Linked DNA regions of Yarrowia lipolytica. The protein of the gene in region 1 purifies or fractionates together with the protein of each later gene. This does not show direct contact. Links are inferred from orthologs where the notes say so. Each region holds a gene or a part of one and is shown in the gene's direction. Other genes may lie near its edges.

What was found.
Region 2: the proteins of YALI1_A21630g (region 1) and YALI1_B13586g purify together in Saccharomyces cerevisiae (affinity purification with mass spectrometry; 4 studies listed by BioGRID, with this or other methods). This does not show direct contact. The link is inferred for Yarrowia lipolytica from reciprocal best matches to the Saccharomyces cerevisiae genes RRP9 and MPP10.
Region 3: the proteins of YALI1_A21630g (region 1) and YALI1_E34933g purify together in Saccharomyces cerevisiae (affinity purification with mass spectrometry; 5 studies listed by BioGRID). This does not show direct contact. The link is inferred for Yarrowia lipolytica from reciprocal best matches to the Saccharomyces cerevisiae genes RRP9 and UTP10.

The regions. Positions count from the first base shown.
Region 1 is NC_090770.1:2,161,898-2,164,947, forward strand, and holds YALI1_A21630g (uncharacterized protein), read left to right. Parts: upstream 1-1,027; coding exon 1,028-2,509; downstream 2,510-3,050. Other genes in the region: YALI1_A21620g (uncharacterized protein), read left to right, coding at 70-795. UniProt on the Saccharomyces cerevisiae protein: Involved in nucleolar processing of pre-18S ribosomal RNA. Required for efficient pre-rRNA cleavage at sites A0, A1 and A2, and biosynthesis of 18S rRNA.
Region 2 is NC_090771.1:1,357,643-1,361,141, forward strand, and holds YALI1_B13586g (uncharacterized protein), read left to right. Parts: upstream 1-1,006; coding exon 1,007-2,932; downstream 2,933-3,499. Other genes in the region: YALI1_B13556g (uncharacterized protein), read left to right, coding at 1-666. UniProt on the Saccharomyces cerevisiae protein: Involved in nucleolar processing of pre-18S ribosomal RNA. Required for the early cleavages at sites A0, A1 and A2 during 18S ribosomal pre-RNA processing.
Region 3 is NC_090774.1:3,490,936-3,494,690, reverse strand, and holds the start of YALI1_E34933g (uncharacterized protein), read left to right. Parts: upstream 1-1,359; coding exon 1,360-3,755. Other genes in the region: YALI1_E34942g (uncharacterized protein), read right to left, coding at 1-424. UniProt on the Saccharomyces cerevisiae protein: Involved in nucleolar processing of pre-18S ribosomal RNA. Required for optimal pre-ribosomal RNA transcription by RNA polymerase I together with a subset of U3 proteins required for transcription (t-UTPs). Involved in ribosome biosynthesis.

The DNA.
Region 1 (3,050 bases):
TATATAAATTTCAGTGTCTCCATCTTTCGTTTGGCCCTCGCCATCTGAGTCACGTGACTCCCAACCAACATGCATATATGCAAACCGTGTCCTGTGTGCGTACATACTGACAGTATAGCGACAGTCCAACCGCCATACACAATGTCTCTTCCATTCCCCGTCCAGATCGACAGAGACCGGATCTCGTCGGGAGACGACCTGTTGTCGCAGGAACTGACGCAATTCAAGGCGCTAGAGGACCTCAAGTCCGAGTTCGGCCAGTGGATCCAGATTCTTGAAAACGAGGTCGTGGAGCTCATCAACAAGGAGTACCAACAGTTTGTGGCGCTCGGAAACTCGGTCAGCGGTGGCAACAGCAAGGTGCAGGAGATCAAGCATCGATTGGTGCTGTTCCAACGCCAGGTGGAGCAGGTCAAGCAGGAGGTCGACGCTACAGCAGAACGGATTGCCAAGGTGCTGAAGAGCCAAAACCAACTGCTGGAGGAACGACAGCGCGCAATGGAACTCATTCTGTATATTCGGGCGTTCCAGGAGGTCGAGCTACGTGTCGGTCAAGTGGGAGGTGCTGATTCGTCTGACCCCGAGGAAGTGTTGGATCTGTCCAACCAGCTCATCAAGCTGCACGAGACCCGCAACGCCCATCCAGAGGCGGCAGTCATGAAATCGTCTGCATCCAGACTGACCACTTTATGTGGACTGGTCATCACAGCTCTGTGCAACAGTGCCAAAACGAACCAAGAAGAGGGTCTTGACTTGTTGCGACAGGTGCATGTTCTCCGGCGTTTGCAGATGTAACCACCCCTTTGTCGGTTGTATTGATATAGGTCAAATTATTTATTGTTTATCAACAATACGATTTTCGTAGCTTTCGTAGTTCTCACCTTTGGTACCATGGTTGCTTATTAAGTATTTGCTTATTAAGAACTCTATCAGACGTCCTACACCTTAAGTCTAATTTTTTCGAGGCTTGCATCAACAGAAAATTTATGCCATATCAACTCTGAAAATCCTCACACAAGACGATAGCATGGTTGATTCATTCTTTTCAAACCCGAAAAAGAGGAGCAAGGCCCCCAAGCGGGATGAGCGACGAGGCAAGAAGGCGGTCGCCAAACCCCAGCGCCCCAACGTGGCAGATGAAGACATTACTTCTGAGAGTGAAAATGAAGAGGAGCAGTTCTTTGAGAACCCCGACACGGCAAACTCCAGTGAGGACGAGGAGGAGACCCAGGCTGACAAGCGACGACGACTCGCCAACCAGTACCTGGAGAACCTGAAGGATGAGATGGGCGAGATAGGATTCGACGCTGCTGATCTTGATCGAGAGAATCTTTCAAGGCGCCTGGAGGAGGATGTGGCTGAGGATAAGGGTCTGATTTACCGATTCCTGGACGTCAAGGCCAACTCCTTTTCACGAGTTCACAAGAGCAGATTCCGACCAACCGCCGTGGCCTGTCGATACCCTTATGCCTACACAGTTGGACGAGATGTCGAGCTGGTCAAGTGGGATATCAGTGATGTGACTAAGCCTCGAGTGCTCAAGGTTGTTTATGGCAACCGTCACGCCTCCAAGGATGCCTTCAACCCCAAGGAGGATTACAAGGGCCACATTGACGACATTCTGTGTGTGGCAGTGTCTCCCGATGGCAAGTACGTTGCCACCGGATCCAAGGATAAGACCATCTGTGTCTGGGCAGCCGAGAGTCTGTCGTGCCTGCATGTTTTCCACACCCGAGATCGACGGGGAGTCGTCATGGGTCTGGCCTTTCGACGAAACACAAACCAGCTGTATGCTGCATGTGCTGATCTCAAGGTCCGAACCTTCTCTCTGGACCAAATGTCGCAAGTGGAGACGCTTTTCGGTCATCAGGATGTGGTTGCAGACATTTCGGCTCTGGCTGGCGAGAGATGCCTGACTGTGGGCTCTCGAGACCGAACTGCTGTGGTGTGGAAGATTGCTGACGAGTCGCGTCTGACTTTCCGGGGAGGAGACATCAAGGACTTCCCCGAGGGCTCCATCGACTGCTGTTCCATGATTGATTCACACTACTTCGTCACGGGCTCAGACAACGGCTCCATTTGTCTGTGGTCCCTGAGCAAGAAGAAGCCTGTCTTCATTGAGAGACGAGCGCATGGAGTTGAGGAGAGACCCGAGACTGATCTTCCACATACCGGAGAGGCTGAGGCCGACAAGGTGCCTCTCCCTGCCCAATCTCCCCGATACATTACTGCAATCCACGCCATCCCCTACTCAGACATTTTCCTTACCGGATCATGGAGTGGAGAGATCAAGGTGTGGAAGCTGGGATCCGAGATGCGGTCTTTCACCCAGATTGCCACTCTGCCCAATGTCAAGGGCGTGGTGGACTCTATCGATGTCAGTGAGCACGGATCTCGAGGCAAAGAGGTTTTCGCCGTGGTTGCTGCGGTCTCCAAGCAGCTGCGAATCGGCCGGTTCCTCAACGTGGGAGGAAGAAATGGTTTGTACACTGGAGAATTGGTCTTGTAAGCATGTGAAGGGAGGACTAGAGCATTAATAGAAAACGGTTGCTAAGCGACTGTAAGGATTGAATAAATCGATGTATATGAAATTGTGTCAGAGTGCGTATAATTAAGTAAATAGTTCAAGACTGAACGATGAGAACATGTGTTATCCACGGTTCATTCTGAGAAAAACAGTAAACATGATAGTGTAAAAGTCAGACAGACGATATGACGTCACAGTCATGGGCTGATAGTAACTTGTTCTGAGTGTAGTTATCCTGCCGCTGTTCATCACCCAGTAATATCACATTATTTCGCAATTAATTAATTAGGCTTTAGTTGAAGAACAATTTTACAGTCAACAGTGTAAATACATTGTTCCTTGGAAAATTGAGAGAAATGAAGTATGTTATTATGTAGAGAAAGTGTCTTTTGATCTATTTATGAGACTACTGTAAAAGTACAAGTACAAGTCCAAATAATTCGCCAATTGCAGGTCCACAAAAATTGGATCTTCCTATTTACAAGTACAGTACATACAGTACTTGTACTTGTACTTGTAGATT
Region 2 (3,499 bases), on another chromosome or scaffold:
GTCTCTGGGACAGTTCTGGCACCTATCTTCACTGTCTTCTCCACCGGTATGGTTGTTTTGATCACAGAACTGGTCATGGGATTGACTTCTCTTCTGTCCTTCTGTTTCAAAAGCACTACAACTGCCCAGTCAGAGTCAGAATCAGGCGACCCTATCAGCGATCTTTTACACAAGAGAACTGTTTTTGTGGCTGTCATTTCTGTTCTGGTTCTGCTGTTCTTTCCCTACCAGCTGGCCTTTACTCTGGCCACTGTGGCTCTTCTGGTGATGACTGCGTACTTCAAGTCCAACAAAGCTCCGCAGGAACAATCATTCAACAACTACATTTCCACCATCTGTGTTCTCATGACTTGGACATGTATCATAAATGCTCCTGTGCTGGCAGTCTGGATTCAGGGCATTGTTGTTCAGCGATCAATGACCTTTTCTTCCCATCACAACCTCGTTTCCATTCTCCCCACACTGCTGTTTGTGGAAAACCTATCCTTCAGGCGTATTCCCAGTGGTTCTTCCATCACTTCTCTCTTGTTGGCATACACCAGTCTGCACTGTTTGTTCTATGGAATGATGCAGGCATTCATGATCCACCATGGATTCAACCTGTTGGCCACCTGGCTCCTTTGCATGTCCTACAAAAAGGTCTTTTTCAAGTCCAAGCATGAGTAACCAAATCGATGAAACAAGTGGAGTGCGAAGAGGGTGACTATAAGTAGTGAGTGCAGTAGCTACTTTAGTGAGCTGGGAGCCTTGGGTCTAAAAGTGGCAAGTAAAAGAGTCTTAGACGGGTGTAAACGTATGATAAGTTCTATAACCAGTTCAATTTCCTGTAACTATTCGGTATCCCTATAATTCCACAAATATATGTCATATTCCTCTCCCCATATTGCCCTTCGCTTACATAATCATCCGATTAAACTCTGAGTTTATTTGAAAAAAATCCTGTGGGTGCATGATCAAGTTTTCAGTTTGGACTTTTTATACCACAATTCACTAAAAGCACAGCACAATGTCTGGAATTCCCACGATTGTGACGTTGGACGAGCCGCTGAGCGTGTTGGCCGTGCCCGATTCTGAGCTCAAGAAGCAGGCTCTTGCCAAGGTCAAGGAGGCGCTGGACCCTCTCTCAGAGCAGTACTCGGTGCTTGATCAGATTCATGTTCAGGATATGGATGCTGAGATGGTCTGGGCTCAGGCCAAGATGGTTATCGATGGCGTTTGTGATAAGATGATTGGCGAGGTGTTTCCCAAGTACGGCAAGATCCAGCCCGACAGCGAGCAAGAAGATGAGGAAGAGGAGAGTGACGACGAGAGCCAGTATGAGAGCGCTCAGGAGGAGGTTCCTGGAGAGGAGGTTGTTGGCGAGGAGGAGGATGAGGGAGTTGACGTCTTTGACGATGGCGACGAGGACGACGAGGACGATACTGAGGAGGACAACGAAGGCAGCGATGTTGATATGGACATGGATAATCTTGTTGATGATTATGAAGATGAGGAAGAAAAGGAAGACGACGACGAGGAAGAGGAGGAGGAGGAGGAGGAGGAAGACGATTCTGGAGGGGAAGAAAAGCCCGATAAATTCGGTCTCAATGATGGCTTCTTCGATATCGACAAGTTCAACAAGCAGATCATGGCCATGGAGGCTGACAACTTTGGAGAAGACGGACCCGACTTTGATTGGAACAAAGAGCTCGGCGAGCAGAGCGACGACTCGGTCGACGATATCAAGTACGACGACTTTTTCGGCAAGGCCAAGTTTGACAAGAAGCTGCAGTACGAGCAGCGGGTTGCCAAGCGACAAAAGCTTGCCGAACAGGCTCTGGAGAACAAGGATGAGGAGTCTGACGATGAGTCTGACAACGAGGCCGGTTCTGACGACAACGAAGCTGACTTCGACATGGAGGGATCTGGGGACGAAAACGAATACGAGGACATGATCAACTCTGTTAAGAAGGATCTGTTCGAGGAAGATATTGCCGAAGACACCCCCGAGCATCTGTCGACGTTTGAGAAACAGCAACGGGAAATCATGAAGCAGATTGCCCAGTACGAGAAGGAAAACGTGGGCGAAAAGAAGTGGACCCTTAAGGGAGAGGCTCGAGCAGCCCAGCGAACTAAGGACTCGCTGCTGGAGGAGGATCTGGACTTTGAGCGGGGAGCTAAACCTGTTCCGGTCATGACCCAGGCCGTCACCGAGTCGCTGGAAGACATGATCAAGGCCCGAATCAAGAGCGGCCAGTTTGATGACCTTCCGCGACGTTTCTTTGACGACCTGCCTCAGTTCAAGAAGAGCAAGCTCATCGAGGTCTCTGAGCAAAAGTCGCAAAAGTCTCTGGCTGATCTGTACGAGGCTGAGGCTATGGGAGAGACCGAACCATCGACGACGAACGAGCCCCCTAACGAAATGCGAGACGCTGCCCATCGAGAAATCGAAGACCTATACGCCGACGTTGCCTACACCCTCGATTCTCTGTCATCTTGGACCTACAAGCCCAAACCCACTAAATCCATCCAGATTGTCACCAACGCTCCTGCCATCTCCATGGAGGAGGCCCAGCCCCAGGCTCTGGCCCAGGAGGAACAGCTGGCTCCCCAGGAGGTTTACAAGCCCGAGGTTGCCGATAAGAGAGAGCGACTGGCTGGCTCGACTGGCCTTCCTCAGACCAAGGCTGAGATGACCCGAGAAGAGCGAAAGCGAGCCAAGAAGAAGGAGAAGATTGCCCGAGGAAAGCAGTTGGCAGAGAAGGAGGAGCGACAGCGATCTCTTGCGGTGCATTCCAAGGAGGGCGATGCCAAGGGCTCCAAGGCCCAGGTCATGGAGACTCTGAAGCAGGGTAATGTTACGGTGATTGGAAAGAGAGGCGAGAAGAGAGGACTAGATGGAAAGCTGAAGAGGGATCAGAAAGCCAAGGATGGTTACAGTCTGAAACTGTGATCGAAGCGAACAAAAAGTCCAGTTACAAATTATATAATTGATAGAGCATGTTTATTGAATGGCTGTAGGTAGAAGAGTTACGTATTTTTGAATATGGGTAATTACAAGAGCATACACAGCTGATGACGACCAACCTTGCCCTTGGAGTTTCCAATACTATGAAACACAGGTTATTCCCTGGAGTTTACACACCAGCCACGATCGATGTTCTAGTATGAAACCATTCTGTCGTGTGTCTAACACTCTTCGTCTATCAACGCCCGAGACAAGCTGAAACACAGACGACCTCGTTGAACGCACCCCATTTACACGCTTCCAAAGCCGATTCAGAGATCTACTTGGGATTTTTGGTGCTCCGGTTACCCGTTGCTGTCCGTGTATCGGTTTACTGTTTCTTACCCATCTCATCCCTTCAGGCAAGTCCAACGGGACCCCTGCTTATGTCCGACTACTTCCGACGATAGAGCAGCAAGAGTAAGGATATGGGGTTGTTGTACGACGGGAATGTTGCGTAGCTATTTTCAGGGGGTGTAAGGTGGTGCAAGGGGTCGAGGGACGACCCTCCGA
Region 3 (3,755 bases), on another chromosome or scaffold:
CGTCCAGAGTCATCAGCTTGTCCTTATGCCGCACCAGAGTGGGTAGAATGAGCCATAGTGGAGAGAAGGGAGTGGTCATGAAGACCGAGGGATCCTGAATCACACTTCCCTTGTCACCCTCGACTTGTAAAATGATGCTTCGGGGATCAGGTGTGCCCTCGAAGTGCGCATTGGAGCCGTTGATCTGGGTGATTTCGTATACCTTAGTGTGCTTGGGGTCGGAGGAGTCAACGACGAATCGAGCCAGGTTTCTGGTTCGAGGGTGTGTCAACGACACAATTGTTGGTTTTGTGGTTGGTGGCAGAATCACCAGGTGGTTCTTGGTCGTGCTCAGAGTGCTGGTCATGGTTATGTATTGTAGCGTAGACTGTTTTGGTATCAGGTTACGCTTCGATTTCGCTTCATCACATTGCTCATGCATCATCGAAGCTAATCCTGAACTTCAAGCAACGATGCTGCTTTGTACGAGTTGATGGAACGGCTTATGAGGAAAATATGGTCGCGGCTACGAGGAACGTATACGACAGCAATTGACTGAGACAGACGACAGTGACTATGTCACGTCGGACATTCTTGAGACAGCTAGGTGTTTATGTGGTCTGGACTCTGGGGCAGGTGGGACTTCTCATCTATTGGATCATGTATAAACCAAGTAATGGGCTAGAGTTAGTTGAAAAAGTTCTACACTCTAGCTGTAGACACTATAAAGTCTAAAATACGTCCCCAAACCAGAAAAATTTTACATGCATCCAACAATATCCATTAATGACATAATCCCTAGATAGTGTTATCTGTTCCAATTACCTTCTTCATACAGTATATACCGATACTTGTATACTGGACACATTCTTCACACTCATAACCTCAAGTATGCAATGCAAGGCTAAACAATTTTTTTGTGAAGAGATTGAGGTGAAATTTCAGAAAACCTACATACACAACCACATTCGTCAACGACAGTATTAATTAAAGGGAATAAGTGAGTACCAAAAACTGGGGACGACAGTCATATTGTCACTCCTCGTCCATTAAACTAACCCAGTGTCTACCCTTTCTCAACAGCTGTCCCAACTCGGCGGCGGATCTACCGTCGACCGAACCTGGAAGCTCAAGCAGCACTCCAAGTCGCTCATTTACGAGCCTCAGGTTGCCCAGGATCAGGACTTTTCTTTTATCCACGCTGTTGGTGTTGAAGGCCTGCGAGATCTCGTCTCTCTGGACTCCCGATTCGCTCAGTTCGAGAATAACCTGTTCAGCGACACCTCTATTGATGTCGATCGATATGTGCAGACCCAGGAGCAGAACGACCTGCTCGACAAGGCCATTTCGGCGTTCCTTTCTCTAATTGGACCCTACCTGATGCTCTCCCCTGCCGTCAAGGCCTTGGAATGGCTCGTCCGACGTTTCCATGTCAACCAGATGAACGCTGAGCAGCTTCTCCTGTGTGTCCTCCCCTATTACGACCAGGACATTTACCTGCGGGTCGCCGATGTCATCATCAAGCTCCCTCCCCTGTTTGTTTTCCTTAACAAGAGCAAGTCTGCTGCCCAGAACCCCCCTCGAAACCTGTTGATCCGAGCCTTCAGTGCTGATATGCGTCTGTTTGAACTCATCACCGAGTATATCGTTGGTCAGACTACCACAAAGACCTCATACCAGCGACAGCTGTCTTTCTGGTCGCAGTTTGCCATCTACGGCCTGGTCGCCGACAAGGCTGACCCCGAGCGAATGCTGGAGATCTACCTGCCGGCTCTGGCCAAGCTCGTTGTCACCATCGATACCGACTGCCAGATTGCTGCCTACATGGTTCTGACTGTTCTTGGTAACAAAATGCCTCTCAACAAGGAGGTATTCAACGCTCTCGTTGAGACCATCGCTGCAAACTGGACCCAGAAGGCCATCAAGAGCGGTATTCTTTGCATCACCCAGATGTACCAACAAAAGCAGGAGCCCGAGGTGCTGCCCACTAGCGTCATGACCGCTCTCAACAAGGCCGGTTTTCAGCCTTCAGATGTTGTCGCCCTATCTCAGAAGTACAAGATGGCTCTTTTCACCCTCGGATACTGCATGGCTCTGCTCCGGAACCCCGACGCTGCCAATTTCAAGGGTCTTGAAGAGATCATTTCCAACACCCAGTTTGGCTCTAACGAGTCCACCTTCCTTATGCGTTACATTGTTGACTGGGCCCTTGCAAAGGAGACCAACACGTCTGTTGCTGCTCTGGCTGCTCCCGTCATCGCCAAGTGGGTTACCCGAGGTGAGACTGTGCCTGAACTCGACCAGCTCGAGCTCAAGCTCCAGACTGTCTTTACTGAGGCTGCCGTCGAGGAGATGGAGGTCGAGGAGATCCAGGAGGATGTTGATGTCGAGTCTCTCGTTGAGCAGGCCAAGAAAGCCGCTTCTCAGACCACCACCTACTTCTCAACCAAGACCTCCGAGAATTACGCGGAACTTTCCAAGATTTTTGTTCAGCTCATCGAGCGAGGATACACTATGGACAAGTTTGTCAGCATGTTCTCCTCTGACATTGCTTCCCTAACCTTCTTTGCTCGAATTTGGGCTTCTCCCTCACCTCTTTTGGCGCGTCTTGCTGCCGTGGAGGCCGCTAAGACTATTATTACTGCCGCTGGCGAGGCCGACTTCCAAAACCTCATCCCTTACACATGCATTGCTCTTTCTGACGCATCCCAGCGAGTCCGAAAGGCCGCTGCTAGCTTCGCCGAAGTGCTCAAGTCCAAGCAGAACAAGAAACCCATCTGGGGAGTGGAGAAGATTTACACCAACGACTGCTCTTACCTCGGTTCTGGTGACGTTACCGTCCTTCTTAACGCTCTGTCTCTCGAGGAGTGTATTCTGGACGAGTCCTTTGTTATCCGACAGGTCTCTGATATGATCTCTAAGAAGAAGGGTTACAAGAGCGCCTTCTCAACCGCGGTTCTTGCCTACCTCGGCTCGCACGCGGTATCTCAGGAGATTATCGCCATTAGAACATCTCTTCTTACTCTGGTCACTTCTTCCGAGGAGCCCATTGTGCCTACCACGAAGGTTGTTGAGCCTCTGTACATCAACCCTCCCAACGATCTGGCGTACATTACTGAGTTAATCCGAACTGTCACCGACAAGACCGGAATCAAGTTCCTTGAGTCCCTTATCAAGAACGACTCCCCTATCTACGATGAAGTATGTGATATTGTCACCCAGCGACTAGTCAAGCTGTGGCCCACCCTCAAGGGAGATGCTCACCTGGGCCTGTTCCGATTCTTTGTTGATCTTTCCCTTGACAAGGACGTTCCCTTTGACTCTCTTGATGTTCTCGCTCACGTTGATGTCCCTACCAAGGTCTTCATCTCTCTGCTGGATGACTGCAAGGTCGAGCAAAACACAACCTCCATGGATGCTCCTTCTGACGAGTCTACTAAACGACGGAGACGATCTTCTTCGTCCACCGTTCGAAACCTGCTACAGGGCAAGCTCCACCATATTGCTGAGCGAAACTTGCGAAAGGTTTCTCTGGTTCTGGAGCTGCTTGTTGCATCCAAGACCACTGACGACGCTCTTCTAGGCCCTTTGTTCACTCAGCTTGGCGAGATTCTGACTCTCGGAACCGACTCCAACCTGCCTATTGACTACTGCCAGTCTCTGCTTGCTGATGTTCTTCTCAACATCATTCGAGCCAACCAACACGATGGAGCCAGCATTGATCGAGATATCCGAGTCGACATTGTTGTTTCTGCTATTCGAACCGCCTCTAACGC